Linked DNA regions of Anolis sagrei. The protein of the gene in region 4 interacts with the protein of the main gene of each other region in a pairwise test. Links are inferred from orthologs where the notes say so. Each region holds a gene or a part of one and is shown on either strand. Other genes may lie near its edges.

Evidence for each region.
Region 1: the proteins of PDE4DIP (region 4) and SCNM1 interact in binary tests that used the Homo sapiens proteins (3 or more experiments, as listed by UniProt). The two-hybrid records come from large-scale screens. The link is inferred for Anolis sagrei from reciprocal best matches to the Homo sapiens genes PDE4DIP and SCNM1.
Region 2: the proteins of PDE4DIP (region 4) and SDCBP interact in binary tests that used the Homo sapiens proteins (3 or more experiments, as listed by UniProt). The two-hybrid records come from large-scale screens. The link is inferred for Anolis sagrei from reciprocal best matches to the Homo sapiens genes PDE4DIP and SDCBP.
Region 3: the proteins of PDE4DIP (region 4) and bystin interact in binary tests that used the Homo sapiens proteins (3 or more experiments, as listed by UniProt). The two-hybrid records come from large-scale screens. The link is inferred for Anolis sagrei from reciprocal best matches to the Homo sapiens genes PDE4DIP and BYSL.

Annotation. Positions count from the first base shown.
Region 1 is NC_090032.1:6,618,829-6,626,474, forward strand, and holds the start of SCNM1 (sodium channel modifier 1), read right to left. Parts: upstream 3,284-7,646; 5' UTR 2,853-3,283; intron 2,668-2,852; 5' UTR 2,659-2,667; coding exon 2,608-2,658; intron 582-2,607; coding exon 511-581; intron 1-510. Other genes in the region: LYSMD1 (lysM and putative peptidoglycan-binding domain-containing protein 1), read left to right, coding at 5,212-5,391, 6,779-7,134. UniProt on the Homo sapiens protein: As a component of the minor spliceosome, involved in the splicing of U12-type introns in pre-mRNAs. Plays a role in the regulation of primary cilia length and Hedgehog signaling.
Region 2 is NC_090024.1:48,695,378-48,703,195, forward strand, and holds the start of SDCBP (syntenin-1), read right to left. Parts: upstream 3,070-7,818; 5' UTR 2,959-3,069; intron 605-2,958; 5' UTR 547-604; intron 1-546. UniProt on the Homo sapiens protein: Multifunctional adapter protein involved in diverse array of functions including trafficking of transmembrane proteins, neuro and immunomodulation, exosome biogenesis, and tumorigenesis.
Region 3 is NC_090024.1:191,064,028-191,072,177, reverse strand, and holds the start of bystin, read right to left. Parts: upstream 3,062-8,150; 5' UTR 3,054-3,061; coding exon 2,711-3,053; intron 899-2,710; coding exon 736-898; intron 1-735. Other genes in the region: MED20 (mediator of RNA polymerase II transcription subunit 20), read left to right, coding at 5,873-5,886. UniProt on the Homo sapiens protein: Required for processing of 20S pre-rRNA precursor and biogenesis of 40S ribosomal subunits. May be required for trophinin-dependent regulation of cell adhesion during implantation of human embryos.
Region 4 is NC_090024.1:132,332,303-132,340,221, forward strand, and holds the start of PDE4DIP (myomegalin), read left to right. Parts: upstream 1-4,682; 5' UTR 4,683-4,732; coding exon 4,733-4,920; intron 4,921-7,919. UniProt on the Homo sapiens protein: Functions as an anchor sequestering components of the cAMP-dependent pathway to Golgi and/or centrosomes.

The DNA.
Region 1 (7,646 bases), on a different chromosome or scaffold from region 4:
GGAAGGAGAGAGATTAAGAAGTGGAAGGAGGGAGGTGAAAAAGGAAGGAAGGGAGGATTGTGAGAGAAGGAAGGAAGGAGAGATACTGAGATAGATGGAAGGAGGGAAGGAAATAGGGGAGGAAGGGAGGAGAAGGGATTTAGAGAAGGAAGGAAGGAGAGAGAGAGAGATTAAGAAGTGGAAGAAGGGAGTGGAAAGAAGGAAGGAGGGAAGAAAGGTAGGAAAGAATGAGAAGGGAGTGAGAGAAGGAAGGAAAGATTAAGAGAGGAGGAAGCAAGGAGTACGATAGGTGGAAGGAGGGAAGGAAGGAAGGAAGGAAGGAAGGAAGGAAGGAAGGAAGGAAGGAGAAGGGATTGAGAGAAGGAAGGAAGGAGAGAGATGAGAAGAAGGAAGATGGGAGGAAGAATGGTAGAAAAAACAAATTGGGAGAAGGAAGGAGGAAAGGGAAAGAGGAAGCAAAGGGAGGGGATGAAGGGAGGAAAGGAGGAAGGAAGAGAGAGGGATGCTGACCTGCCATCTCTCAGGAGCAAGGCTTCGTCTTCCGGGATATAGTTGGCCAAAAGGTCCGCAACTCTTCTTTTCTGGAGGAGAAGAAAAAGATTTTAAAAGGAAGGAAAACTTTAAGACAAACAGGCCACCCAAAGCACTCTGCACATGCTCAGTGGGTGCCTTGCCTTGCCTTTTTGCCTGCTGGAAGCACAGGGCACCTCTGAGCATGCACAGAGTGCACCCAGCCTGCAGAGTTTGGCCACTGCTACCCCAGTTATTTCCACAGTGCATCTATACCAGGCATGGGCAAACTTCGGCTCTCCCTCCAGGTGTTTTGGACTACAACTCCCACAATTCCTAGAAGCCAAATTTGGACACAAGACGCCTCTCAGGCCAACGAGTGGCCATCACTCCTAAAAACAATGAAAAACACAACAGAAGGGACTTAAAAGCCAAAAAACAACACAAAACCAAAACATTACAATGCACGCGCAAAACCACACATATATACACAAACACACCTATATACCTACACACACACACAACACATACACGGAAAGAAGGAAGGAAGGAAGGAAGGAGAGAAGGAGGGAGAGAAAGAAGGAAAGAAAGGCAGAGAAGGAAGAAGGGAGAGAAAGAGGGAGAGAAGAAGGAGGGAAGGAAAAAGAAGGATAGAGAAGGAAGGAGGGAGAGAAGAAGGAGGGAAAAAGAGAAGGAAGGAAAAAAAGAATGGAGAAGGAAGGAGAGAAGGAGGGAGAGAAAGAGGGAAGGAGAGAAGGAAGGAAAGAAAGAAAGGTAGAGAAGGAAGGAGAGAGAGAAGAAGGAGGGAAAAAGAGAAGGAAGGAAAAAAAGAATGGTGAAGGAAGGAGAGAAGGAGGGAGAGAAAGAGGGAAGGAGAGAAGGAAGGAAAGAATGAAGGGTAGAGAAGAAAGGTGGGAGAGAAAGAGGGAGAGAAGAAGGAGGGAAGGAAAGAAAAAAGAAGGATAGAAAAAGAAGGAGAGAAAGAGGGAAAGAAGGAGGGAAGGAGTGAAAGAAGGAAAGAAAGAAAAGTAGAGAAGGAAGGAGAGAGAGAAGGAGGAGGGAAAAATAGAAGGAAGGAGAGAAAGAGGGAAGGAGAGAAGGAAGGAAAGAAGGAAAGAAAGAAAGAAAGGTAGAGAAGGAAGGTGGGAGAGAAAGAGGGAGAGAAGAAGGAGGGAAGATTGAGAAGGAAAGAAAAAAGGATAGAGAAAGAAGGAAGGAGAGAAGGAGGGAAAGAAGGAGGGAAGGAGAGAAAGAAGGAAGGAAAGAAAGAAAAGTAGAGAAGGAAGGAGAGAGAGAAGAAGGAGGGGAAAAGAGAAGGAAGGGAAAAAATGGAGAAGGAAGGAGAGAAGGAGGGAGAGAAAGAGGGAAGGAGAGAAGGAAGGAAAGAAGGGTATATAGAAGGAAGGAAGAAAGGAGGGAAGGAAGGAAAGAGAAAGAATGAAATAAAAAAGGGAAAGAGGGAAAGAAGGAGAGAAGGAGCAAAAGAGAGAAAGAGAGAGGGAAGGAAGAAAGGAGACAAGGAAGGATGGAACCACAGAGCAAAGGAAGCGAGAAAAGAAACAGGTAGGGAAGAAAGAAAGAAGAAGGGAAAGAAAAAGAGGAAAGGAAGGAAAGAAGGAAGGAAGAAAGGAGAGAAAGAAGGAGGGAAGTTTGGCCACAGCAACGCGTGGCAGGTACAGCTAATAATATTATAAACATTATATGCATATACAATATATTATATTATAATGCAGTGTACATGCACTGTGGCCAAACTCTGCAGGCTGGGAGCACTCTGTACATGCTCAGAGGCACCCTGTGCTTTCCAGCAAGCAAAAAGGCAAGGCAAAATAGCGACTGAGCATGTGCAAAGTGCTTTGGGTGGCTTGTTTACATAGTCCTTGGCTCAGAGGTGCCCTGTGCTTTCCAGCAAACTAAAAGGCAAGGCAGCCACTGAGCATGTGCAGAGTGCTTTGGGTGGCTTACATAGGATCTGGATTTTGCAGGAAATGGCAACTATTCAACATGGGAAACAGCATGGACCCTTTCCAAAGGAATAATATGGCATTTTACCCCCAAATGGACCCCTCTTTTGCCCCCACTTCCTTTCCCACTCACCTTGAGGACGTTGAGTTGGCTGGGGTCGTCTCCTTCCCTCTTGAAGGACATCCTTTCCCCCTAAAATAAAAGAAAAAACACCCCAAATTATGCAAGGTTTCCCTTCTAAAGTTGCAAAAATCCCAGGACTACAACTCCCATTGTGCACTACAACTCCCAGCATGCATTAAAACCCCCAATTGCTTGCACCAAACAGGGCTCTGCTTCTGAGAGACTGCATCACCCCCAAACTATGCAATGCTTACCTTCTAGCGTTGCAAACATCCCAGGACTACAACTCCCATTGTGCACTACAACTCCCAGCATGCACTACAACTCTCTGTTGTTTGCACTACTCAGGGCACTGCATCTAAGAGACTGCACTGCTCCCAAATAATCTCTGCTTCCCTTCTAGCGTTGCAAACATCCCAGGACTACAACTCCCATTGTGCACTACAACTCCCAGCATGCACTAAAACCCCCAATTGTTTGCATCAATCAGGGCTCTGCTTCTAAGAAACTGCATCACCTCCAAACAATGCAATGTTTACCTTCTAGCGTTGCAAACATCCCAGGACTACAACTCCCAGTGTGCACTACAACTCCCAGCATGCACTACAACTCTCAGTTGCTTGCACCAATCAGGGCTTTGCTTCCAAGAGACTGCATTGCCCGAAATGCCTCTGGGCTCTTTCTTTCCCTTGTTTACTTCCTGGAGAGGGGAAAGAACTACATCTCCCATCATGCCTTGCTCAAAATGGAGCATGATGGGAAATGTAGTCCTTTCTCCCAAAATCACTTATATCTTTCCCCTAAATGCAAAATTTGCCTGGATTGGGTGCAAATTGCCTGGATTTGGGGGTTTCAAATTGGAAGGAAAGGAGAGAAAGGGTTTGATTTTATTTTCCTGGCTTCCAAAGTGTTTTGAGTGCAAAGACTACAAATCCCAGGATCCTTTGCGCGGGAGGGGAGGCGGGGCTTGGGAGTCGGTTGCAAGGCAGGCTTTGGGTCCAACAGCTTCTTGGCTGGGAGAATCTCTCTCTATTGATAAGTATCCTCTTTGGAGCCATTGATCCTTATTGATTGGCAGCAGGGGTGATGGGTGATTGACATCTGTCTGTGGCTGGAACCAAAACAGACATATTTCTGGGGAAATTATATCTATTTATATATAATTATATTCTATATATATATATAGAATTATATTGCATATATAATTATATATAATTATAATCAATATATATATATTATATAGATATATATAGATATCTACATAGGGTTGGGTGTCCAAGAGGAGACCATTGGTTGTGGTCTCCTCTTATGAGCCAGGAAATTGATTGGGATTGGAGATCAATAGATCTGAATTGGATTGGAAAAGGCTTGATCAAAGCTGGCGGGGAGGTTTGTGGATCCTGGGTAGATACCTAGAGAGATAGATCAAGGTTGGCAGGGCTTTGTTTACCTTTTGAGACGGGGACGATGGGCCTTTAGAAGGGCCACTCCACCATGGCAAGAAGTGGGGTCCAAACTTAGGGGTCTTGCTGGGTTTTAGGGTCTTGGAGAAGGCCTTTGGGGTCAAGCTTTTGGGGTCTTGGAGAAGGCCTTTGGGGTCAAGCTTTTGGGGTCTTGGAGAAGGCCTTTGGGGTCAAGCTTTTGAGATCTTGGAGAAGGTCTTTCGGATCAAGCTTCTAAGAACCTGGAAGGACCTTTGGGGTGAAGTTTTTGGTGTCTTGGAGAAGGCCTTTAGGGTCAAGCTTTTAGGGCCCTTTAGGGTGAAGCCTCTGGGTCCCTGGAAAGGTCTTTAGGGTCAACCTTCTAGGGACTTGGAAGGACCTTTGGGGTGAAGCTTCTAGGGACTTGGAAGGACCTTTAGGGTCAAGCTTTTGAGGTCTTGGAGAAGGTCTTTCAGATCAAGCTTCTAGGGACTTGGAAGGACCTTTGGGATCAAGCTTTTGGGGTCTTGGAGAAGGCCTTTAGGGTCAAGCTTTTAGGGTCTTGGAAGGACCTTTAGGGTCAAGCTTCTAGGGACTTGGAAGGACCTTTAGGGTCAAGCTTCTGGTGTCTTGGAGAAGGCCTTTGTGGTCAAGCTTTTGGGATCTTGGAAGGACCTTTGGGGTCTAGCTTTTGAGGTCTTGGAGAAGGCCTTTCGGATCAAGCTTCTGGGGACTTGGAAGGACCTTTTGGGGTCAAGCTTTTATGGCCCTTTAGGGTGAAGCTTCTGGGTCTCTGGAAAGGTCTTTGGGGTCAACCTTCTAGGGACTTGGAAGGACCTTTAGGATCAAGCTTTTGGGGTCTTGGAAAGGCCTTTAGGGTCAAGCTTCTAGGGACTTGGAAGGACCTTTGGGATCAAGCTTCTAGGGCCTTGGAAGGACCTTTGGGGTCAAGTTTTTGGGATCTTGGAAAGATCTTTGAAGTCAAGCTTTTGGGGTCTTGGAGAAGGCCTTTGGGGTCAAGCTTCTAGGGTCTTGGAAGGACCTTTCGGATCAAACTTCTAGGGTCTTGGAAGGACCTTTAGGATCAAGCTTTTAGGGCCTTCAAAAGACCTTTGGAGTCAAGTTTTAGGGCCCTTTAGGGTCACGCCCTGGAAAGGTCTTTAGGGATTTATTTATTTTGGGGGGAAAAGGGATGTCCTCTCCGTCGAAGCCCGCTTCCCCCGGAGGAGCCGGGTTGCTGCAAGGGAGCCGGACCCGATCCTATGGCAGCCTGGTCAAGACAGTCAGCTCGCCCGTGCGGGAAAGGCGGCTGGAGCATCGCCTCGAACCTGGGGATACCCTCCAAGGCCTGGCGGTCAAGTACGGGGTCACGGTGAGTCTTGGCACATCATTGCATGGATACATAGCATGAGTATCCATGGCGTGGCTTGACTACAGTCCATGTCAAAGAAGTTGTGTTGACCCCCTAACCATAACATTATTTTCGTTGAGAAGAGCAATCGCCGTGATCAAAGGTCTGAAAAACTAGAAGGAGTGACTTTGGGAGCTGGAGAAGCAAAAGTGAAAGTTGAGAGTCATGTTTACATATTTGAAAGGATTTCCCATTGAGGAGGGGGAAGGCTGTTCTGGACACTAGGACATAGATAGGGGACAGGGATGGATGGATGGATGGATAGACGACAGAGATAGATGATAGATAGATAGATAGATAGATAGATAGAGGACATGGATGGATGGATGGATAGATAGAGCAATAGATAGAGGACAGGAATGGATGAATGGATAGATGGATGGAGAGATAGATAGATAGATAGATAGATAGATAGATAGATAGATAGATAGACAACAGAGATAGATAGATAGATAAATAGATGGATGGATGGATAGAGGACATGGATGGATGGATGGATGGATAGAGAAATAGATAGAGGACAGGAAAGGATGAATGGATAGATAGATGGATGGATGGATAGATAGATAGACGACAGAGATAGATAGATAGATAGATAGATAGATAGATAGAGGACATAGATGGATGGATAGATGGATAGAGAAATAGATAGAGGACAGGGAAGGATGAATTGATAGATGGATTGATAGATAGATAGATAGATAGATAGATAGATAGATAGATAGATAGATGTGATGGATGGATGGATGGATGGATGGATGGATGGATGATGGATGGATGGAGAAATAGATAGAGGACAGGGATGGATGAATGGATAGATGGTTGGATGGATGGATGGATGGATAGATAGATAGATAGATAGATAGATAGAGGACATGGATGGATGGATGGATGGATGGATGGATGGATGGATGGTTGGAGAAATAGACGACAGGGATGGATGAATGGATGGATAGATAGATAGATAGATAGATAGAGGTGATGGATGGATGGATGGATGGATGGATGGATGGATGGATGGAGAAATAGATAGAGGACAGGGATGGATGAATGGATAGATGGTTGGTTGGATGGATGGATGGATAGATAGACAACAGAGATAGATAGATAGATAGACAGATAGATTGACAAATAGATAGATAGATAGATAGATAGATAGATAGAGAGAGTGAGAGAGAGAGGACATGGATGGATGAATTGATGGATGGATGGATGGATGGATAGACAGACAGATAGACGACAGAGATAGATAGATAGATAGATAGATAGATAGATAGATAGATAGATAGATAGATAGAGGAGCATTGAGCTATCGTTTCGCTTAACCGCCTTTCTGATCCGATTCCAGACCGAGCAGATCAAGCGGGCCAACCGTCTCTACACCAACGACTCCATTTTCCTGAAAAAGACTCTCTTCATCCCAGTGCCGATGGAGCCGAAGTCCTTGTCGAACGGGTTGAACCTTGACGAGGACGAAGAGGAGAAGGAGGAGGGAGAGCAGGCCACAACCGCAAAAGCGGGAGATGAGCTGGGACCTGGAGTCCCCGAAACCCCCAAGAAGCAGAAGCACCCTCGGAAGAACGGGTCCTCGAGCGGCGTCCCCAAACATGACCTCTCAGCCTCGGACTTCCTCTTCAAACTGGACTCTGAGATCCGCCGCTCGAAGCAGGCCGCCACCAAGAAGCTGCGGGACGGGGAGAGCCTGTGAGTGCCTTTTCGTCTCACTTGTAATTTGAAAACGATGGCTTTTACATGATGCAACCCAGATTTAGGTGGCTCGGTGTAAGCGAGCCAAGTTGCGAAAGGGGATGAGGATCAATAATAATAATAATAGTAATAATATATGCTTTATTATTATTATTTTATTTATTATTAATAAAATTAATAATGTGTGACAAGTTTGGTTCAATTCCACTGTTGGTGGAGTTCAGAATGCTCTTTGATTGTAGGCGAACTATAAATCCCAGCAACTACAACTCCCAAATGTCAAGGCTATTTTCCCCAAACTCCACATTTGGGCATATTGAGTATTCGTGCAAAGTTTGGTCATTGTTTGAGCCCACAGTGCTCTCTGGATGTAAGTGAACTACAAATTCCAAACTCAAGGTCAATGCCCACCAAATCCTTCCAGTATTTTTGGTTGGTCACGGGAGTTCTGTGTGCCAAGTTTGGTTCAATTCCATCGTTGGTGGAGTTCAGAATGCCCTTTGATTGTA
Region 2 (7,818 bases), about 84 Mb from region 4:
AGAAGTGGAGTGAAACAGAGGTGAGTGTGTGAGAAAGGTGAGTTGAGCTGAGATGCAGCTTTGCCATAAAGCGACTGGACAGTGTTACCTTCCTAAGCTGGAGGAATGGGAAAAGTAACTGCAGTCTTGTTATCACTGAATGAAAGGGTTACAATAGGAAAAAGTACACTTTGCTAGTGGGTAACAGTATCAACAGTCACTTGTGGTGAGATAACTGAAATGGCCATCTTTGTTGTTACCCAGTTCCTTACGTCAGTTACAATAAAAGTCTAGGAGACCAACTTTAACACAAACTGAAACTCCTCTGTGTATTGCAGAGCAGATGAAAACATAGAAAATAGCCAGCCAATAGCTAGTGACCTGAGGAAGCCTCACTATAAGTCAACGTAATATTTTAGCTTAGAAAATAGCAAGAGAAAATAATAAAGGTATGTAAAACTATGTATGAAACAGCATCAACTTCCCAAAACCGGGAAGGGGGATTTCGAGCTAAAACAGTTTGTCAAACAATTATCTCAACAAATTCTGGTAATACTAGTGACTCACATGTTTTGGAAACTCTGATGGGGAATTAGATGGCTCTTCAGAAACAAAATACTGTAATCTATTGTAAAACAGAACACAAAATAATACAATATCACTATATTTTCTCATCCAGATTTTACACTGAAATTGAAAACATGGATGTAGTACTGAACACCTTTACTAGCCATTCAGCCTTACAGAACCCAGTAGACTTTATTGCAAACAAAAACATAGAACTTACTGAATTTACCCTCAGTAGTCATCTAATATTATTAAATACAAAAGTTAGGATGGACCATGTGAGACCTGAACAGGTCTGTTGACTTGAGGGAATGTCTCAACTGACCACTTAATATAGATTGAAGGCGGGATTGTCCCATGCACAGGGTTGCCAAAAGTAAAGTCAATTCTAGGATAGCTAGCAACCACCATATGGTCACATGTACACACAGAGATGACAGAGAATGTATATATTAAGACATAGTTGGAATCAAGGCAGCAACCAATACACCCCAATTTTATCTCTCTTGGTTTGTGGTTTTAAAAACCAAAACAGGCAACTCCTAGTAACATCTAAAGTACACACACCCGCAGCAATGGAAAAGACATCACGTCACGCAGAAAAACCAACAACTTCCTTCTCCCACCTTTCAGCAAACATCCTGTAACAAAACTGAAAATGGATGCCTCCTCCTCCTCCATTTGTGACTCCTCTGAGGAATCAAAGCCTCTCAGTGCTTCTCTCCCCCACCAACCAAGAACCTATTTCAAGGAAAAAGGGAACTGGCAAAGCTTTTGCTTGCCTCTCCTCCTTCCCTCCCTGCTCAATCTGGGCCTCTGTCCCAAGTAGGAGGAGGAGGGGGGAGAAGGAGAAAGGAGGGAGTGAAGAAGGGGAATGAGAAAGCAGAGGAAGAGAGAGAGGAAGAGGGGGGGGGGAAGAAAAGAAGGGTGGAAGAGCAGGAGAAGGGAAAAAGAGGAAAACTTATGAAAATTTGAGAGAGAATGGGGAGGAAGAGGAGGAAGAAGAGAAGGAGAAAGAGGCTGGAAAGAAAGGAGGACAGATGAAAGTGAGAAAGGAAGAGGAGTACGAGGAGGAACAAAATGAGAGAGAAAGGGAGGAAGGGAGAAGGAGAAAGTAAGAGAAAGAAGAGGTGAAGGAGGAGAAAGAGGAGGGGAGAAAATTAGGATGGGGATATGAGGAGGAAGAAGAAATGGAGGAAGGGGGAGAGGAAGAGAAAGAAGTGGGGAAGGAGGAGAAAGAGAAGGAGAAAGAGGAGGTGGAGAAGAACGAGAACAGATGAAAATTAGAGAGGGGGAGTACGAGGAAGAGAAGGAGAAAGGAGGAGGAAGGGGCAGAGGAAGAGAAAGAACAGGAGGAGGAGGAGAAAGAGAAGGGGGAGAAGAAGGAGGACATGTGAAAATTAGAGAAGGGGAGTACAAGGAGGGGCAGGAAGAGAAAGAAGAGGGGAAGGAGGAGAAAGAGAAGGAGAAAGAGGAGAGGGAGAAGAAGGAGGACAGATGAAAATTAGAGAGGGAGAGTACAAGGAGCAAGAGGAGGAGAAAGGAGGGAGAGAAGGAGAAAGAATGAGAAAGAAGAGAAGGGGGAAGAAGAGAAAGAGGGAAGGAAAAGGAAGAGGAGAAAGAGGCAGAGAAGGAGGAGGGCAGATGAAAATTGGAGAGGAGTAGTACAGGAGGAAGGGAAGGAGAAAGAGGAGGGGGAGAAGCAGGAGGACAGATGAAAATTAGAAAAGAGAGGGAGTAGGAGGAGGAAGAGAAAAAAGAAGACGAGAGAGAGAGAGAAGGAGAAAGAAGCAGAGGTGAAGAAAAGATGAAAATTAAGAAAGAGAGGAGTACGAGGAGGAAGAGAAGAAAGAAGAGGAGAGAGAGAGGAGAAAGAAGAAGAGGTGGAGAAGAACAGATGAATATTAGAGAGAAGGGGGAGTACGAGGAGCAGCAAGAGGAGAAAGAAGAGGAGGGGAGGGAGAGGATGGAGTAGGAAGAGGGCGGGGGAGGTGAGTAAACCCCTCTCGCTGCCAAACGTCTTGTGTGTGTGTGTGTGTTGGGGAGGGGGCTTCAGGCGCTCTCCCTTTCTCTCCCAGACTCAGACGACCCTCCCCTTCTCTTCAGACACGTCTCGCCTCAGACCGAGACAAGGAGCAACAGCAGCCATACAAATCAAGGGGTGCCCACACACAAACACACACACTTTTCTTCCTCAGGTGACAAACAATCCCCACAAAATCACAAATGTGCGGGCTACGGAGGCGTCGCTTCTATTTGAGGAGGGTCCGAGGAACTAGGCCTCCTTTTCTGAGGGAGAAAGAAGGCGCCTCTCCCACCCCAACCCCACGGCCCTTGATCCACCCCAGGCCCCGGCCTCCCTCCCTCTCTCCCTCTCACACAAACACGGTTTTTGCTTCAAGTCGTTCTCACCGAGCGGCCTTGGCGACGACTCCTCTCCTCAGCCCGTTAGGCGACGACTCGAAGGCGGAGGTGCTTCCAGGAGGAACTGCCAGGGAGGGAGGGAGATAGGGAGGGAGAGACCTCCGCGCATGCGCAGACGCCTGCCCCCGGGAAGGCTCGTGACCGTGGGTGAAGGGACAGAAGGGAAAGCGCGGGAGGAGTCAAGGCTGGCTGGTGGGAGCCGCCTCCACTCTCTTTCTGAGAAGGGCTGGGAAACTTCTGTTCATATAATCCTTAAGTTGGAAGAGACCACAAGGGCCTCTGTACTATTGATCAGGTATGGGCAAGCTGGGGTAAAAAATGCTGCAAGAAACATTAACAACCTTAGATATGCAGATGATACCACTTTGATGATACCACTTGGTGGTATGGGCATACCAAATCACCTTGTCTTTTTCTTGAGGCAGACATGTAGCGGGGGGGGGGGGGCTTGAGGGGCTTCAGCCCCCCCCCCCCCCCCCGAAATTCTCATGGTGGTTCACGAAAAGTATGATATCTGGGATCCAATGCTGGTTGCATGTCACGGGTCAGAATTAGAGAAGCGAAGATATAACATATTTGAATGTGTTTGCATATGATATCCGGATAGCCTTAAGCACTATGCTCGGCTGTCCGTTCCCCCCCTTTCTGCCCCCGTTTCTGCCCTCCCCCCTTTCTGGCAAGCTATCTTGCCACGACTCTGTCACACCTGCATCTCTCACTTGCTGCGCTGTCTCAGCATTGGGTTCCAGCTATCATAGTTTCGCCCAGTTCCCAACAACTCAGCAAAGGTGATGGGTGTTCCACCCCAGGGAAAAAAAACAACATGGAGAGGGCCATGTGCTGAACTGAAACCAGGGAGCCTTTCTCATTAGGGCACATCTACACTGTAGAAATAATGCAGTTTGATGGCACTTTAACTGCCATGACTTGATGCTATGGAATCACATGAGTTGTAGTTTTACAAGGCCTTGAGCCTCCTCTGCCAAAGAGTGGTGGTACCTCGCCAAACTACAACTCTGAGATTTCCCATCACTTTTCTAATGAGTTTCAACATGGTATTGACCAGGCATGGGCAAACTTGGGCCCTCCAGGTGTTTTGGACTTCAACTCCCAGAATTCCTAACAGCTTCAGGCCCTTTCCTTTTCACTTAAGTGGCTGATGGGGGAAAGGGGCTGTTAGGAATTCTGGGAGTTGAAGTCCAAAACACCTAGAGGGCCTGTATTGACCATCACAGTATCTCTGATCAACATTTTTTGTTGAGGTAGTCATCACATTTCCTGAATTGTTTTGTTTTGGTTTTGTTTTGTTTGGGGTTTTTTTTGCCCCAGTGAGTCATTTTACTCCTTGTTTCCCCAGTTTGAAAAAGTAACCTGCAATCTAGTTTTGTTTTAACAGCTAATGATTTTGCATTATCAGCAAATCTCGGCACTTCACTATTCACCCCTCATTAACCAGTTAAAAACAGATTTTTTAAAAATTGTAAAATCTTGAGTGTGCATAATAACTGTTCAGCGATGGCTTTTTCATATATGCAGGTTGTCACTTGATTTCTGCTACAGGAATGTATGAACTAGTTCCATATATTAAATTGGGTTACTCTTTTTTTTCCATCAAGGTACATTTATATGAGAGGGAACTTCAAAGCAATGTGGTTCTTTGATCACATTTTATAATATTTTGAAGAACATTTACCTCTGAAAGTTTGCTGAAGAGGAAAATACTATAATGTGTTTGTATTCACTTCTCCCAACTTGTCTCATGACAAACAGCTGTGTTCCTCATATTTTGTTTACTGTGAAAAACAGTTGAGTTCTGGTGTCTAAGCAGCTGATTTCTTGGTGTTGCAGATTTTCAGCAAACCCCACAGTTGATTCAAATTGATTTGCACAACGCAGCCCTGTTTAAGAAAAATTAAATCTTCACAGTTTTTTTTTCAGATATGAGGCACATTATTTCACAATCGCATCATGGCATGTCTGTTATTGAATTATAGAATGATTCAGAGGCCCCATCTACACTGACCAGATAGTAGAGTTTAATTGCACTGAACTGCATTATATGGTAGTGTAGACTCATATAATGCTGTTCAATGCAATTAAACTGTTTTATGAAACCACTATATTGTCGATGATGATGATGATGATTGGAACTTATGTCACAAGTACCACCTGCCAGTAGTAAAGATTTCTTGGAAATTCCCAGTGTCAAGACCTTGCGTCTAACAGCAACCAGACGCAGAGCCTTTACTGCAGTGACACCATCACATTGGAATACTCTGCCAACTGAAGTCCGTGCCTTGCGGGACTTATCAGCTTTCCGCAGGGCATGTAAGACATATCTGTTTCGACGGGCCTTTGATCTTTGATTGCTGTTTTTAAATTGTTTTAAATTGTTTTTAAATTGTGTTCAATTTTAGCCTGTTCTTGTAAGCCGCTCCGAGCCCCAGGGGAGTGGCGGCATATACGTTCAAATAATAAAATAAATAAATAAATAATTGGTGGGATCATAAACCTGCAAAGGTCGTGGAAAATGAGCACGCAAAAATACTGAGGGACTTCTGAATCCAAACTGACAAAGTTTTGGAACACAATATGCCAGACATCATGACTGTGGAAAAGAAAAAAGTTTGGATTATTGATGTTGCCACACCAGGTGACAGTCGCATTGAGGAGAAACAACAAGAAAAACTCAGCCATTATCAGGACCTCAAAATCGAACTGCAAAGGCTCTGGCATAGACCAGTACAGGTGGTCCCAGTGGTGATCGGCACACTGGGTGCCGTGCCAAAAGATCTCAGCTGGCATTTGGAAACAATAAACATTGACAAAATGACGATCTGTCAGCTGCAAAAGGCCACCTTACTTGGATCTACACGCATCATTTGAAAACACATCACACAGTCCTAGGCGCTTGGAAAGTGTTTGACTTGTGATTTTGTGATACGACTTCCAGCATATATCTCTCGTTGGTTGTGACATACTGTGTTTTTGTATCAATAATAATAATTAATTATTTGTATCCCACTTTAATCCTTAAACAGGATCCAAAGTGGCTCACAACATTATGTTAAAGCAATACGAAACAATATACATACGTAAAACAAAACTTCTAAAAACAATTTACAATAAAGATAAGTAAACATATTTAAAAACATTTATCCAATACAGTTATTACAGGTAACTCAATAGAAAGATGATAAACGTAGGACAGCTCAATAAAAGTTTACCTTCCTGTCATTACAGCTAAGTATCTTCATCAAAGGCTTCTAGACGGGGCCTGACAGTGAATTAACAATGCAGTTTGACACCACTTTAGCGCCCATGGCTCTATGCTAGGCAGGCATGTAGCCGGGGGGGGGGGGCTATGGGGGCTTCAGCCCCCCCCCCCCCGAAATTCTCATGGTGGTCCGCGAGAAGGCCTTACTGGTACATTATTTAAACTGTTATGTTTATTAATATCATGATCTGATCATCATTCTCAATATTCTCAACTAGTCCAACGCTCGGCAGCCATGATTTTAACAGGAGCGGAGCGCAGGGAGCATACAACCCCCCAGTTGCGCCAACTCCACTGGCTACCGATCTGCTACCGGGCTGAATTCAAAGTGCTGGCGTTGGCCTTTAAAGCCCTAAACGGTTCCGGCCCTAGCTACCTATCTGACCGCATCTCTGCCTATGAACCCACGAGGAGTTTGAGATCTTCCGGGGAGACCCTGCTCTCGATCCCGCCTGCTTCTCAAGCTCGGCTGGCGGGGACGAGAGATAGGGCCTTCTCGGTGGTGGCTCCTCGGCTGTGGAACGCCCTTCCTACGGACATTAGACTAGCACCATCTCTAATGGTATTCCGCAAAAAGGTGAAGACCTGGATGTTTGTGCAGGCATTTGAGTAATTTAGTGCAATCTGGTAATTGGAACATAGGAATGGAACAATGGACGACGAACCTGGACTACGCTTGGATGATGAGAAGATTGGGTACGGTTGTTTTTTGTAATAATTGTGCATTGTAATTGCTTATTGGTAATTTATGGATAATGTGTTAAGTCAATTGTTATATGTTGTATGGAACCACTGCTGTTTCTACTGTTTTTACTGTTTGTGAACCGCCGTGAGTCGCCTTCGGGCTTGAGATATAGCGGTATATAAGCAAAGTAAATAAATAAATAAATAAATAAATATATCCCAGATGTATGGGGGTATTGGAGTAACAATACAAAAGGTTTGCTAGGGTAGACCCTCTTTCACCCAGAACCCCCCCCCCCCCCCGAATCAAAATCCTGGCTACGGGCCTGATGCTAGGGAATCATAGGAGTTGTAGTTTAGTGAGGTACCAACAGTCTTTCACAGATTAAACACCCTGTAAAACTACAACTTTTAGGATTACATAGCATTTAAGACATGGCAGTTAAAGTGGTGCCAAACTATTCATTTGACAGTGTAGATTCAACTTAAGGCTCCTTGTTGTTTTGTGGGACACTGGCGATCTGCACAGGCACATTTGTGTTATGATTTAGATGTTCTTTAGTTTTAGAATTGTTTAATCATATGTTCATAGATTTTAATTTGATGCAGTTTGCATCTTTTCTTTTTCCTGTGCAGTTCTAAATCTAGTCTCCTTTGTTTATGAAGCCTTCTTAATTTCAGTCCCTATTCTTTATTAATGTATTCTATTTCATAATTGATACCTCTGGAGACTTTGCAGGTTGTGAGGAAACCACATTTGAACTCTTTTACCTGCTCAAAAGTGAATTCAAGGCATGTCAAGATGTCTTTGAAGGAAAAGGAGGAGTTTAAGTAATTCCAAAATTTGAGCTTCAAAAATATTTATTCTTCACTTTTAGTTGCATACT
Region 3 (8,150 bases), about 59 Mb from region 4:
TGTTCCATTCTTATAAAGATCAATAAACACTAGAACAGTGGTTCTCAACCTGTGGGTCCCCAGGTGTTTTGGCCTACAACTCCCAGAAATCCCAGCCAGTTTACCAGCTATTGGGATTTCTGGGAGTTGAAGGCCAAAACATCTGGGGACCCACAGGTTGAGAGCCACATGTTCTAGTCAATTATATTCCAACTGGCTTCAAGTCTCTAAGTTTGCAGGTAAACAATTAATCTGTTTTTTCTCCCAATCAATATTAGTCAATTAGCTGTAGAGGATGCTTTTTCTGTCAATTTATAATTTGACATCATTAGTCCATTAAAAACCAACGTAATCCCATTCCTTCAGTGGAATTCTGTTTCATAATTGCATATAATACAAACAGTGGGAGTGAGGCAAAATAATAAAAGAAGTAACAGGTAAGCTGGACCCAAACCATTTAGGGCAGTAGTTCTCAACCTGTGGGTCCCCAAGTGTTTTGGCCTACAACTCTCAGAGACCTCAGCCAATTTACCGGCTGTTGGGATTTCTGGGAGTTGAAGGCCAAAACATCTGGGGACACACAGGTTGAGAACCACTACACAAGAGGGAACTAGGGGAAATTTCTCAGCTTTTGTACCAACTTTCCACATATCGCTTAATCCCAGGAACAAAATCAAACAAAACAAAAACCCTAAAAGGGCTCCTCTACCACTAATTTTTCAACCATAAACCAAGATTTGGTCCTTTTGGGCTCACCTCAGTGGTGGGTTCTTATTCATGAACATTTCAATGGCTTTTTCATCCTCAGGATTCACAGTCATCTCCTCACAATACTCTCCCTTCTCCATGGCTGCAGCTTTCTCCAGTGATGGCCATTCCTCGTCATCTGTATCTGAACCTCCATCCTTTGAGTTGGAGCCTAGAAGAGGCAGGTGAAAATTAGCTCTACATGTTTAGCAAAACAAGCAATTGCCTTATTGCCCCTGATCTGAAGAATTCCTGGGGACGATGGCAGCTGTACCAACCTGGAGAATACCAGAGTGGGATCCTAAAGTATAGAATAGGTTCTTATTGTAATCAATGGGATAGTGGTCAAAAGGGTTTTTTTCCAGCTGCAAAGAAGAACTAGTTATGGACATGCATTGAAAATGCATTGTTATCCTTAGCTTCACTTACTTTGACTTTGACCACGCATGGGTAAACTTGGGCCCTTCAGGTGTTTTGGACTTCAACTCTCACAATTCCTAACAGCCTCAGGCCCCTTCCTTTTCCCCCTCGGCTGCTTAAGACACATGACCTTGGAGGCGTACGGTCTTCGGCTTAGAAATGGTGATGAGCATCATCTCCCAGAGTTGGGTACGACTAGACAATGTCAGGGGAAACCTTTACCTGTATAGTATTAGATCTAATTTTAATAGCAACTCCCATGCTACCAGAAACTACAGAAATTGCCATTTATCTATCCCATGACTTAACAGAGAGTCTACTGCAGGGGTCCTCAAACTTTTTAAACAGAGGGCCAGGTCAGAGTCCCTCAAACTATTAGAGGGCCGGATTATAATTTGAAAAAAAAAAAACACGAATGAATTCCTATACACTTAAAAACAATACAATAATTATAATGAAGAACAATTTTAGCAAATATAAACTTATTACTATTTCAATGGTAAGTGTGTGCCTGCTTTTAGCTGATGAGATAGGATTGTTGTTGTTGTTGTTGTGTGCTTTCAAGTCATTTCAGACTTAGGTAGACCCTGAGCAAGGGCCGGGTAAATTACCTTGGAGGGCCGCATCCGGCCCCCGGGCCTTAGTTTGAGGATCCCTGGTCTACTGTATATGGTTGAAACATCTTATGGCAATGCTATGAAAATACAGTTAATATCACCCTTAGTTCATTTACTTGGACAAAATATAGTAGACTCTGAGTTAACCACAACTCAAGCAGCCAGAACTCTCGGGTAACCGGGGGGGGGGGGGGGGATCAAAGAAATAATGTTGTTGAAGGCTTTCATGGCCAAAATCACCGGGGCCCCTTCCACATAGCTGAATAAAATCCCACATTATCTGGGATATATGGCAGCGTGGACTCAGATAAACCAGTTCAAAATAGATATTGTGGGATTTTCTTCCTTGATATTCTGGGTTATATGGCTGTGTGGAAGGGCCCTGGGTTGCTGTGAGTTTCGGGCTGTAATGGCCATGTTCCAGAAGCATTCTCTCCTCACATTTCGCCCACATCTATGGCAGGCATCCTGAGAGATTGTGACATTTGTTGGGAACTAGGCAAGTGGAGTTTACAGGCTTTGAAGCTGCAAGCCCATTCAATGTTAATCAAGGTGACCGATTACAACATTCACACTTGCCTCCATCAGACAAGAGTTATTTCTCCCACTCTGGACATTCCACAGATATATAAACCTCACTTGTCTAGCTTCTGGAACATGGCCAGACAGCCCGGAAAACTCACAACAATCCAGTTAAACAAAACTTTTGCTGTGTTTTGTAACATAACCAATTGGGAAATGACGTTTACAACCCAGAAACAAACATTGTGTTACACAGTGTGATAGAAAGGCAGAGTTAGGCCTATTTTTATTACTTGGCTGTACTGAAGGAGTTGGGGATGATGGCAGTTGTAGTCCATCGCATCTGGAGGATGGCGGGGTGTTTGGTTTGTTTAATCCCAGGATGGGCTTAATAATGTGATGTCACGTGCTTTTTGCCCACTCACCCAGGACGGTGGTCTTCCTCTTGGGCTCCTCTCTGCCGGAAAGGCCATGCTCGGCCTGCAGCTCCTCCTGCTGGATCCGCGCCTGCTCCAGGATCTTCCGGGAGAGCCGCTCGTCCACGTACTTCTCCTCCTCCTCCTCCTCCTCTTCTCCTCCCGCTCCCCCGCCATGCAGGCCGGCTTTGCCCCTCCGCTTCACCCGCCGACTGGGCTTCACCGCCTCGCCCTGCAGGATCTGCTCGGCCAGAGGCACGCTCACCCCGGCCGCCGAGGAGGCCCCTCGCACCCGCTTCTCTTTCGGCATGATCGCCCAGACACGTGGGGGAGAGGAAAGGCTAAGACGCATGCGCCGGAAAGAGAAGGCCAGAAAAGGGGCGGGGCTTGCGACCGCAGGGGCGGAATAGATATAGAGCAGAGCTTTCCCAACTTTTCACGCTTTTGAGACCAATCAGGCGTGGGCAAACTTGGGCCTTCCGGGTGTTTTGGACTTCAACTCACACAATTCCTAGCAGCCGGTAGGGCTCAAGTTTGCCCACATCTCTAATATTTTGCATATACATTTGGAAAATTGTATATGCAAAATATCAGACAGATGGAAAGCTATTTAACCTCAGCAGACTGAAAGCCAAAACCAAGGTGACAACATCTATTACAGAAGTCCAATATGCTGATGATAACATCGTCTGTGCACATTCAGAATTTCTACATGCCACTCTAAACACCTTCGCAGAAGTATATGAAAAGCTTGGCCTGTCATTGAACATCGAGAAAGCCAAAGTGCTCTTCCAGCAGTCACCAGCCAATCCCTCTCCAATGCCAGAAATATAGCTTAATGGTGTAACATTAGAAAATGTTGATAATTTCCACTACCTTGGCAGCCACCTCCCCACAAAAGTCCACATTGACACTTAAATACAACACCGCCTGAGCTCTGTGAGTGCATTTTTACGAATGAAGCACAGAGTGTTTGAGGACTGGGACATCTTGAAAGCATGGCTATTTCAGTGTGCCTTCCCTGAATAAAGGAAACAATGCCCTAATTTGATCAATTTTCTGCAATATGTCCTCTGAAGCACTACCCGTTGGATTTATTTCCCTACATTACTCTCTAACCGCCCCACCCCCCGTTTAGATACCCTACTTCTGTTCACACCCAGTATTTTAAAAATTTAATCTACTACATCCGGCCTTTCCCACAGTCTTTTAAATCTCTTGTGTGTTACTGCTTATATGTTATTTATGATATTGTACTGTGTTTTATTTGCTTGCTTGCCTTGTTTTCTACTGATGTATTTTGTTGGGCTTGGCCTCATGTAAGCCGCCCGAGTCACCTTGGGGAGATGGTGGCAGGGTATAAATAAAGTTATTATTATTATTATTATTATTATTATAAACTAGCTGTCCCCTGCCACGTGTTGCTGTAGCCCAGTCTGTGCATATGTGTTTTGTGTGTGTGTATATATGTGTTTATGTATGTGTATATATTTGTGTATATAAGTGTGTGTATATATGTGTATTTATATGTGTGCATGCATATTGTGTATATGTGTGTGCTTGTCTATATGCATATTTGTGTGTGTGTGTGTGTGTGTATATATATATATATATTATTTATTTTATTAATCAATTTTATATACTTCCACTCGCCGAAGTCTCGGAGCGGTTTACAATATACACAAGAAAAACTTTGATCAACAAAATTCAAATGCCACCCTAAATAAATAAGTTTTACAAGCTCTACGAAAAGCAAGTAAATCTCGGAGAGCTCCTGTTCCTGCTGGCAAAGCATTCCATAGATAAGGAGCCACCACCGTGAAAGTTCTACGCCTAGTAGACATCAGGTGAATGGTCCTAAAATTGGGAACTTCAAGGAGATTCTGATCGTCTGAACGAAATATTATGTGGATATGTATATGTGTGTGCATGTGTATATGTATATCTGTGTGTATCTGTGTGTATGTGTATGTATGTTTGTGTATATGTGTATATCTGTGTGTGTTTGTGCATATATATATGTGTGTGTGTATGAATGTGTGCATGTGTATATGTATATGAGTGTATGTGTATCTGGACACATTGACAAGCTGGAATGTGTCCAGAGGAGGGCGACTGGAGAACAAGCCCTATGAGGAGCGGCTTAATGAGCTGGGCATGTTTAGCCTGAAGAAGAGAAGGCTGAGAGGAGACATGATAGCCATGTATAAGTATGTGAGAGGAAGTCATAGGGAGGAGGGAGCAAGCTTGTTTTCTGCTTCCATGGAGACTAGGACGCAGAACAATGGCTTCAAACTACAAGAAAGGCGATTCCATCTGAACATGAGGAAGAACTTCCTGACTGTGAGAGCCATTCAGCAGTGGAACTCTCTGCCCCGGAGTGTGGTGGAGGCTCCTTCTTTGGAAGCTTTTAAACAGAGGCTGGATGGCCATCTGTCAGGGGTGATTTGAATGCAATATTCCTGCTTCTTGGCAGGGGGTTAGACTGGATGGCCCATGAGGTCTCTTCCAACTCTATGATTCTGTGTATATGTAAATATGGTATTTTTGGGGGGGTTTTAAGTCTGTTCGGCTGGGGTTTTGTGTGTGTTTGTGTGTGTGTTTACAGGTGATGGTCACACGTTGGACTGTTAGGTGTATTGTGTCTAAATTTGGTGTCAATTCGTCCAGTGGTTTTTGAGTTATGTTAATCCCACAAACGAACATTACATTTTTATTTATATAGATGAAATACAATTTTAAACCTAAATATACGTATATATAAAGTAGATCTTAGGAAGTTGTTTCTTGATTTAAAACGTCAATATGCTGGCTGATATCCGAACAGAGGATGGGCCGGAGGTGTCAATACTTTCCTCCCTACAGGAAAGCCTGGCTCCACTTTCTTTTGCTGGATGGGCAATGCAGGACCACCTGAGTTGGAGGTGGGCCTGCATTGCCTGCTCCGGCCGCCAGGGGGCCGCTTCCGAGAGGAGGCGGCGAGGACGACACTCGCCCGCATTCCCCGCGATGACGTCACTTCCTTTCGGCGTTCTTCCCTCCGAGGAGGCGAGGCTGTGTGAGGCTCCGCGAAGACCGCCGGGCAGAGGGCGCTGAGTGAGGCTGAGAAGTCTTGGGCCACCTTTCCGCCCGGGTTCACGCCTCCCCCGCGGAGGAGACAGCCGAGGAAACATGGGTGTCACCTGGTACGGCTTCCCAAGGCTGCTGTAGCCTTAGCCAAACATTTTACCTTGAGACCGTTGCATGTTTTTGCTTCTCAGTGTCGGCCAAGATGGAGGCCTGCTGCGATTGTGCTTGGATGTACATTCGTTTCAAGAATGAGGGGTCGGGTATGGAGTGTAACGTGTGAACGAGCGAATGACGAGTGTCAGGGGCAGGAGAGGGACCTGGTGACAGGTAGGGTTACTACAGGCATGGGCAAACTTCGCCCCTCCAGGTGTTTTGGACTACAACGCTCACAATTCCTAACAGCCGGTAGGCTGTTAGGAATTGTGGGTGTTGTAGTCCAAAACACCTGGAGGGCCGAAGTTTACCCATGCCTGAGTTACTAAATCTCCTCAATGTAATGCCAGGGGAGTATCTGCCCCTCATCCGAATTGCTTGGCGCCAGACAAGTTTGCGATTTCAGGTATTTTTGTGTGTGGGATTTTTTTTTTTTTGCATCGCCTAATTGCTAAGCCTAATCAAACCAGTCATTTATGTTTCACGTACACATAACATGTATATGAAACATAAATGTTGTGTTTAGGCTTGGCTCCCATCTTCAAGGTGTTAGTAAATAAGATATTGACACCACCTGCATGTAACACAGGTATGGAGAAACCCACGCCCGGGAGCCGAATGCGGCCTCTTGGACTCTTTTTGCAGGCCCTCCTCTCGCTCACCATCCTATCCTTCCTTCCTTCCCTCTTTCCTTCTGCCTTTCCCCCTTCCCTCCTACCCTTCCAGTCTTCTGTCTTTCTTCCCTCTTTCTCTCCCTCTTTCTCCTTCCTTCCTTCCCTTTTGTCACAGGGAGGAGGGAGCAAGCTTGTTTTCTGCTTCCCTGGAGACTAGGACGCGGAACAATGGCTTCAAACTACAAGAGAGGAGATTCCATCTGAACATTAGGAAGAACTTCCTGACTGTGAGAGCCGTTCAGCAGTGGAACTCTCTGCTCCGGAGTGTGGTGGAAGCTCCTTCTTTGGAAGCTTTTAAACAGAGGCTGGATGGCCATCTGTCAGGGGTGATTTGAATGCAATATTCCTGCTTCTTGGCAGGGGGTTTGACTGGATGGCCCATGAGGTCTCTTCCAACTATGATTCTATGATTCCTTCCCTCTTTCCTCCCTCCCCGCATTCCCTCCACCCTTCCTTCCATCCATCCTTCTCTTCTTCCCTTTTTACCTTCCTTCCTTTTCTTTTTCCTTCCTTCTTTCCTCCTGGGGCATGTTTACCTGGGGGAAGAGAAGGTAGAGAAGGAACATGAGAACCAATTTTCAAGATCTAAAAGGGTGTCCCATTGAAGAGGAGGGGGAAAACCAACTTTCTGCTGCTCTAGAGACCAGAACACAAGGAAGCAATGGGTTCAAATGGCAGGGGAAAAGATTAGGAAGAATTCCTGAAAGTAAGAGCTGTTGGAGAGTGGCCTAGGCTGCCTGGGAGTGTGGTAGAGTCTCCTCTGGAGACTTTTCCGCAGAGGCTGTCTGTCGGGAATGCTTTAATTGTGCCTTCTTGCTTGGCAGGGGGTTGGACTGGATGGCCCTTGAGGGTCCTTTCCAGCTCTAGGATTCTATATCAGGAGTATGCAGTATGGGGTCTAATAGATACACTTTTTCCTCTCGTATCCACCTCATCCTGACCAAGGCTAACCTTTTGGGATCCAAATGTTTCCCATCTTTCCTTTGCTTTCTGCCTCCGAAAGAGAAGAGGAAGGGGAGGAAAGGGCAGGGAGGGGACTTGGAGAGAATCCCCCTGCTCCTGGCCTGCCCACCCTGCTCCAGCCTGCCATGAGGCCCCCAAGTTAGAAAGTTTGCCCATGCCTGATGTAACATATTGAAGATGGGAGCCAAGCCTAAACACAGCATATATGTTTCATTTACACATTATACACGTAGCCTGAAGGCACCTTTATGCACAGTATTTTAAATAATTTGGTACATTGAACCATCAGAAAGCAAAGGTGTCAATATCTCAGACACATGTGGGAAATTTGGGATTTCTGGATAAAAGATACTCAACCTGTAGCATTAGATTGCCGTTAATGCAGTTTTAATACTCCCTTGGGTGGAAAGGGATCATGAGTGGAAAAAGTTAAACCCTGATCTAGAGCACCATTTGTTGGAAAGCTAGGAAATAAATGTAAGAGATAGATAAATTAGCTTTGGCTTTCATTTTTCTTTATTCACCAATGTGAAGTGAAAGGGCAAAGAGGCTTGGAGGAGATGGAATGTTTTAAAAGGCATTTTCTCTCT
Region 4 (7,919 bases):
CAAGTAGATCTCCAGATGATCGAAGAGATCATGTGGGTTCATACACAGAAATGCGGTCACGTAGGTAGGCAGGTCTCAAACCATCCAGAGCTTTGTAAGTAAGAACCTGCACCTTGAATTGGGTCCAGAAAATGAATGGCAGCCAGTGGAGCTCCTTAAACAGGAGGGTTGACCGCTCCCTGTAAGGAGCGCCAGTTAACAATCTGGCTGCCACCCGTTGGACCAACTGAAATTTCTGAGCCGTTTTCAAGGGCAGCCCCACGTAGAGCGCATTACAGTAGTCCAATCTGGAGGTGCTATTCCAATGAGCTTCCAAGAACTTCCTTTTGATGTTCTTTTAGGCCCCTTCCACACAGCAGAATGAAATCTCACATTATTTGCTTTGAACTGGAATATATTTATTTATTTATTTACGGTATTTATAGCTCCCTTTTTTAGCCATACTGCGACTCAAGGTGGGTTACAGATTAGCACAATTCGATGTCAGGCATTCATAAAAGTGCAATTAAAAACAATCAACATTACAATATAAAACATAAATAAAAACTGTTAAAGCATATAATCATCGGTGTTGTCTTGGTAAAAACCTTCACATCGTCTGGCTGTTCCATGTTCATCATTCATAGTTCTGTGTTATCTATTCCGCTGCATTCTCAAAAGCTTGCTCAAAGAGCCAGGTCTTTACTTTTTTTGGAAAGCCAGGAGGGAGGAGGCCGATCTAATATCCCTGAGGAGGGAGTTCCGTACCCAGGGGGCCACCACTAAGAAGGCCCTGCCATTCGTTTCTGCCAATCGCACTTGTGTGGCAGGCGGAATCGAGAGCAGGGCCTCCCCAGACGATCTTAAGCTCCTAGATGGTTCGTAGGAGGAGATACATTCGGATGGGTAAGCTGGGCCAGAATTGTTTAGGGCTTTATGGGCTAAAGCCAGCACTTTGAATATATATGGCAGTGTGGGCTCAGATAACCCAATTCAAAGCAGATATTGTGAGATTTTCTGCCTTGATATTCTGGGTTTTATAGCTGGAAGGACCCAGAGTCCATTGTGATTCTTGCTCATTTTGAAGCTGTTCTTTTTTATGTACTATTTCGAGATTATCGACAAATGATTGTTGTATGCCACTTTGCATGCACTTCATATATAAAGATTTGGTATAAATTCAAACATCCTTGTTTGGATATGTGACAAGATCACAAGTACACAGATCAGAGAGGGACAATGTGCCAATTTGCATCGCCCAAAGGATGTCCTTTTGCCATTCTCTAGGTATTTCTCTGTTTTCCTCTTTAATCTCATTGGACTTCCCTTATCCTTGAACTGTTGCTATATTGAGGAATATATCTTCCATATGAAAGAAATTGCAGACCCAAGGAAAAAGGTATGAATCTGAAAACTGTGGCAAATTTTGATTAGAAGTCAGAAGCCAAGTCCTGGTGTCTTTCATGACAGTCCTTGCCACTAGGTGGCTGTCAAGAAGTAACTGAGAACAAGAAGGAGACTTTAAGGAGGCTGAAGATGCACCTTTAATAGGTTTTAACTGCCATGAATACTTTTTATGCAATCCTGGGATTTGTAATTTGGGGAAGCACGAGATTCTGGTAGAGAATTCTAAATACTGGTATTTGCTGGGGTTTGGTTCCAGGGCCTGCCATGGATCCTAAAAGCAATGGATGCTCAAGTCCCATATAATGCATAATCAAATGACATGTTGTTATATAAAATGGCAAAAGTAATGTGTTTTTGAGATGTGGGGTATTCTAAAGTCATGGAAGTTTAATCTGTGGGTCCAGAGTCCATGGACACAGAGAGCTGACCATATCTCAGTAAAGATTTTCCCCTGACATTAAGTCCAGTGTTGTCCAACTCTGAAGTGTTAGTGCTCATCTCCATTTCTAAGCTGAACAGCTGACATTGTCCATAGACACCGCCAAGCTCATGTGGCCAGCGTGACTGCATGGAGCGCTGTTACCTTCCCACCAGAGCAGTACCTATAGCTCTTCTCACATTTGCATGTTTGGGGCTTTATAGGTGAAAGCCAGCACTTTGAATTGTGCCTGGTAGCAAACTGGCAGCCAGTGGAGCTGGTGTAACTTGGGAGTTGTATGCTCCCTGTATGCCACCCCAGTTTCTCGTTGGACTATTTGAAGTTTCCGAGCAGTCTTCAAAGGCAACCCCACGTAGAGTGCATTGCAGTAGTCTATCCTGGATGTACCGAGAGCGTGGACCACCGTGGCAAAGTCTGACTTCCCATGGTACGGGCACAGCTGGCGCACAAGTTTTAATTGTGCAAATGCTCCCTTGGCCACCGGGGTTGCCTTTGAAGACTGCTCGGAAACTTCAAATAGTGCGAACGCTCCCTTGGCCACCGCTGCAACCTGGGATTCCAGGCTCAGTGATGAGCCCAGGAGGACCCCCAAGCTGCGAACCTGTGCCTTCAAGGGGAGTGTAACCCCATCCAGCACAGGTTGCGACCCTATACCCTGCTCTGAATAGCAATTGTGGGAATTGAAGTCCAAAACACCTGGAGGGACAAAGTTTGCCAATGTCTGGTCTATACTGTCATATAATCCAGTTTCAAATCTGATAATCTGGATTTTATCTGGCAGTGTAGAAGTGGACTAACTAAGAGATGCTTAGGTGGGGCATGGCCCAATATAAATAAACTAGCTGCCCCCTGCCACGCGTTGCTGTGGCCCAGTCTGTTGATCTGGAAAATAAAGTAATGAGAAAGTGTTAATTTCTAATATATGTATTTTCTTTATGCTTGTTGGGTAAACAGTATTTCTTGCTGTTTCTTTGTCAGTGTTGATGCGGAGAGTGTTTGGTTTGCCCACCCTTGAACATGCACCATATCATTGTCCTTCTTTAAGGGTCCCTTTCAAATCTATGATACTCTATCTGTGTGCGTGTGTGTGAATCATATCTATCTATCTATATCTATCTATGGCTGGATGGCTCTTTGTCAGGAGGACTTTGATTACGTTTTCTTGCCCTGATGAAGGGAGTTGGATTGGATGGCCTTAAGTATTTTCTGATGGTCATGGGGGTTCTGTGTGGTATGTTTGCCCCAATTCTGTTGTTCGTGGGGTTCAGATTGCTCTTTGATTGTAGGTGAACTGTGAATCCCAGTGACTACAACTCCCAAATGTCAAGGTCTATTTCCCCCAAACTCAATCTGTGTTCATATTTGGGCGAATTGAGTGCTTGTGCCAAGTTTGGTCCAGATCCATCATTGTTTGAGTCCACAGTGCTCTCTGGATGTAGGTAAACTACAGCTCCCAAACTCAAGGTCAATGTCCACCAAACCCTTACAATATTTTCTGTTGGTTGTGGGAGTTCTGTGTGCCAAGTTTGGTTCAATTCCATTGTTGATGGAGTTCAGAATGCTCTTTGATTGTAGGTGAACTATAAATCCAACAACTACAACTCCCAAATGACAAAATCATAATTTTTTTAATGATGGTCACTCCTTGTGTTGTGAGATATTTTGTTACCAAATTTGGTGTGATTTCGTTCATTGGTTCTTTTGTTTTTAACACACAGAGCATTTATATATATATATATATATATATATATATATATATACTAGCTGTCCCCTGCCACGCGTTGCTGTGGCCCAGTCTGGTGATCTGGAAAATAAAGTAATGGTTTCTTATCTATGTAATTTCTTTATGCTTGTGGGTAAACAGTATTTCTTGTTGTTTCTTTGTCAGTGTTGATATGGAGAGTGTCTGGTTTGCTTATTCTGGAACATGCAACATATAATTGTCCTTCTTTAAGGGTCCCTTTCAAATCTATGATACTCTATCTCTGTGTGTGAATCATATCTATCTATGGCTGGATGACTCTTTGTCAGGAGGACTTTGATTACGTTTTCTTGCCCTGATGAAGGGAGTTGGATTGGATGACCTTAAGTATTTTCTGATGGTCATGGGGGTTCTGTGTGGGAAGTTTGCCCCAATTCTGTCATTCGTGGGGTTCAGAATTCTCCCTGATTATAGGTGAACTAAAAATCCCAGTAACTACAAGTCCCAAATGTCAAGGTCTATTTCCCCCAAACTCCATCTGTATTTATATTTGGGCATATTGAGTATTTGTGCCAAGTTTGGTCCAGATCCATCATTGTTTGAGTCCACAGTGCTCTCCAGATGTAGGTGAACTACAACTCCCAAACTCAAGGTCAATGCCCACCAAACCCTTCTAGTGTTTTCTATTGGTCAGGGGAGTCCTGAGTGCCAAATTTGGTCCTATTCCATCACTGGTGGGGTTCAGAATGCTCTTTGATTATAGGTGAACTATAAATCCCAGCAACTACAACTCCCAAATGACAAAAGCAAATTTTTGAGTGAAGGACATACATTGGGTTGTTAGGTATCCTGTGTCCAAATTTGGTGTCAATTCATCCAGTGGTTTTTGAGTTATGTTAACCCCACAAACGAACATTACATTTTTATTTACATATAGATAGATAGATAGCTAGATAGCTAGATAGCTAGATAGCTAGATAGCTAGATAGATAGATAGATAGATAGAGATTGGGAACCACTAATACAGAGGCCTAGAATGCATTTGGGGCTGCATTCTGTGAGTGAGGCTGGCGGCCACCTCAGAGGTCACCCGGGCCTGTCTGGGGCGCCTCTCCTGCCTGGCGCTGGCCCCGCCCCTCCCGACCTCCCAAAGGCGCGGTGACGCCGCCAAGGATGCTGCTGGGCGGCGGCGGAGGAGAAGGAAGATGCAGGCGGCGAAGCGGAGGGAGACGGGGGCCCCCGGAGGACCATCGGCGCCCCCCGGAGAAGGCAAGCCTTCCCGGCGCATTGGGCGAGGGGCCCCCGGGCGCAGGCCCCCCGCACGGAGCGGTCCCCGAAGCAAGATCGCCCCTCCGGCCTCCCTTCCCAGCCCCGGACTCAGGAGCCTCAGGAGGTGAGAGGCTTGGGAGGGGAAGGAGAAGGGGGCGGGGGCCACCCTGGCCTGCTTGGGAAGGACTGACATCACCCTGCCTGAGACCATCGCCTTAGAATAACATCTCTATCCTCTGACTTGGATTCTGAGCCCATGCATTTCCCTCACTGTCATATTATCATCCAATTCCAGAATATAGCTTTACTGCATCCAACTGGATTATATCCATCGGATTCAATCTCAGGCCCCTTCCACACAGCTGAATGAAACCCCACATTATCTGCTTTGAATTGGGATATACGGTAGCATGGACTCAGCCCAGTTCAAAGCAGATATTGTGGGATTTTCTGCCTTGATATTCTAGGTTATATGGCCTAGGAAGGGCCCTCAAGGTGCTTTAAATCAGTCAACACTGCCCTACAATCCAGATCTATCCCCATTCTGAAACTGGATCATGGGGCAATGTCAGCCCCCATCCGTACTACAAAATAAAATCCGGATAATCTGTGTTGAACTGGATTATATGGTAATGTAGACTCCTATAATCCAGTTCAAAGCAGATCATGTTTTAGGGCCTTGGTACAGTCCGTGTTATAGGGCAATGTCAGTCCCCATCCGCACTGCAAAATAAAATCCAGGTTATCTGCTTTGAACTGGATTATAGGACAGTGTAGACTCTTATAATCCAGATCAAAGCAGATCATGTTTTAGGGCCTTAGTAAAATCTATTTTATGGGACAGTGTCATCCCCCATCCACACTGCAATATAAATTCCAGATTATCTGCTTTGAACTGGGTTATATGGCAATGTAGACTCTTATAATCCAATTCAAAGCAGATCATGTTTTAGGTCTTAGTAAAATCTATTTTATGGGGCAGTGTCATCCCCCATCCACACTGCAATATAAAATCCAGATTATCTGCTTTGAACTGGATTATATGGCAATGTAGACTCCTATAATCCAGTTCAAAGCAGATCATACTTTAGGATCTTAGTACAATCTGTTTTATAGGGCAATGTCATCCCCTATCCAGAGGCGGCCCTAGGTAATTTTCAACGGTAAGCAAACTGTATTTTGGCACACTCCCCCTCCCCCCCCCCCCCCCAAACCAATCACTGATATATATTTTCTGTTCGTCGTGGGAGTTCTGTGTGCCATATTTGCTTCAATTCCATCATTGGTGGAGTTCAGAATGCTCTTTGATTGTAGGTGAACTATACATCCCAGTAACTACAACTTGCATATGTCAAGGTCTATTTCCCCCCCAAGAGCGCCCCTGGGCAAAATCAACTATACTGCAAATGCTTACAATGGGTTGAGCAGCCCCTGCCTCTATCCGCACTGCAAAATAAAATCCAGATTATCTGCTTCAAACTGGATAATAGAGCAGTGTAGACTCCTATAATCCAGCTCAAAGCAGTGGACTCAAACAATGCACATATGGAGTATTCATGCCAAGTCTGGTCCAGATCCATCATTGTTTGAGTCCACAGTGCTGTCTGGATGTAGGTGAACTACAATTCCCAAACTCAAGGTCAATGCTTACCAAACTCTTCTAGTGTTTTCTGTTGGTCATGAGAGTCCTGTGTAACATGTTTGGTTCAATTCCATTATTGGTGGAGTTCAGAATGCTCTTTGATTGTAAGTAAACTATAAATCCCAGCAACTAGAACTCCCAAATGACAAAATCAATTTTTTTGAGTGATGGTCACTCCTTGGGTTAGTAGGTGTTTTGCGGCCAAATTTGACGGCAATTTGTCCAGTGGTTTTTGAGTTATGTTAATCCCACAAACGAACATTACATTTTTATTTATATACTAGCTGTCCCCTACCATGTGTTGCTGTGGCCCAGTCTGGTGATCTGGAAAATAAAGTAATGAGAAAGTGTTGGCTTCTAATATATGTAATGTCTTTCTGCTTGTCGGTAAACAGTATTTCTTGCTGTTTCTTTGCCAGTGTTGATGTGGAGAGTGTCTGGTTTGCCTACTCTGGAACAGGCAACATATCATTGTCCTTCTTTAGAGGCCCCTTTCAAATCTTTGATACTGCATCTGTCATATACATATATGTGTGTCTGTGAATGGCTGGATGGCTCTTTGTCAGGAGGGCTTTGATTGTGTTTTCTTGCCCTGGTGAAGGGAGTCCAATCCATGTTATGGGGCAATTTCTCCACCTGGGAAGTCAAGACCCCTGGGGGACACTGGGGGGAGGGGTCAGAAGGGTCACCAAAGACTACCAGAAAGCACATTATTTTGTGTTGGTCGTGAGGGTTCTGTTCCCCAATTCTGTCATTGGTGGGGTTCAGAATGCTCCTTGATTGTAGGAGAACTATAAATCCCAGTAACTACAACTCCCAAATGTCAAGGTCTATTTCCCTCAAAGAGAGAGAGAGAAAAGAGAGAGAGAGAAAGGGAGGGAGAAATCCATCCCTAGGAAAGGAAATTCACTCCTGAAAGAGTTATCACCAAGAAAGGTGTCTCCACTGAAGCCTGATCACCAATCCTTGTTTCTACCACAAGCCACATTTTTTCAAAATCCAATGATCACAGCGACAGAAACTTCTGAAAAGGGGCACAGACAGCAAAACAAACACCATTGGGGTGTTAACCCTTCTAATGCTGTCCAAAGCTGAAAGAGATATACGTATTTTGGACTGGAGTGACGCTTAGGAATGTACCTGTTCTGACAAATTCAACTTAAGAACAAACCTACAGAACCTGTCTTGTTTGTAGCTTGAGGACTGCCTATATTGCAAAGTAGCTTATAAAACTCTGTAGGGAATCCTGAAGAGGTCCAATCATATATATATATATGTGGTCTGTAATATTTATATTTATCCATCTGGTTTAAACCACTTGTATTTTGAGATGCAAGATTAAGGTCATTACAGATGCAGATATTCATGAAAGGACTAGCCGTCCCCTGCCACGCATTGCTGTGGCCCAGTCTGGTGATCTGGATAATAAAGTAATGAGAAAGTGCTGGTTTCTAATATATGTAATGTCTTGATGCTTGTGG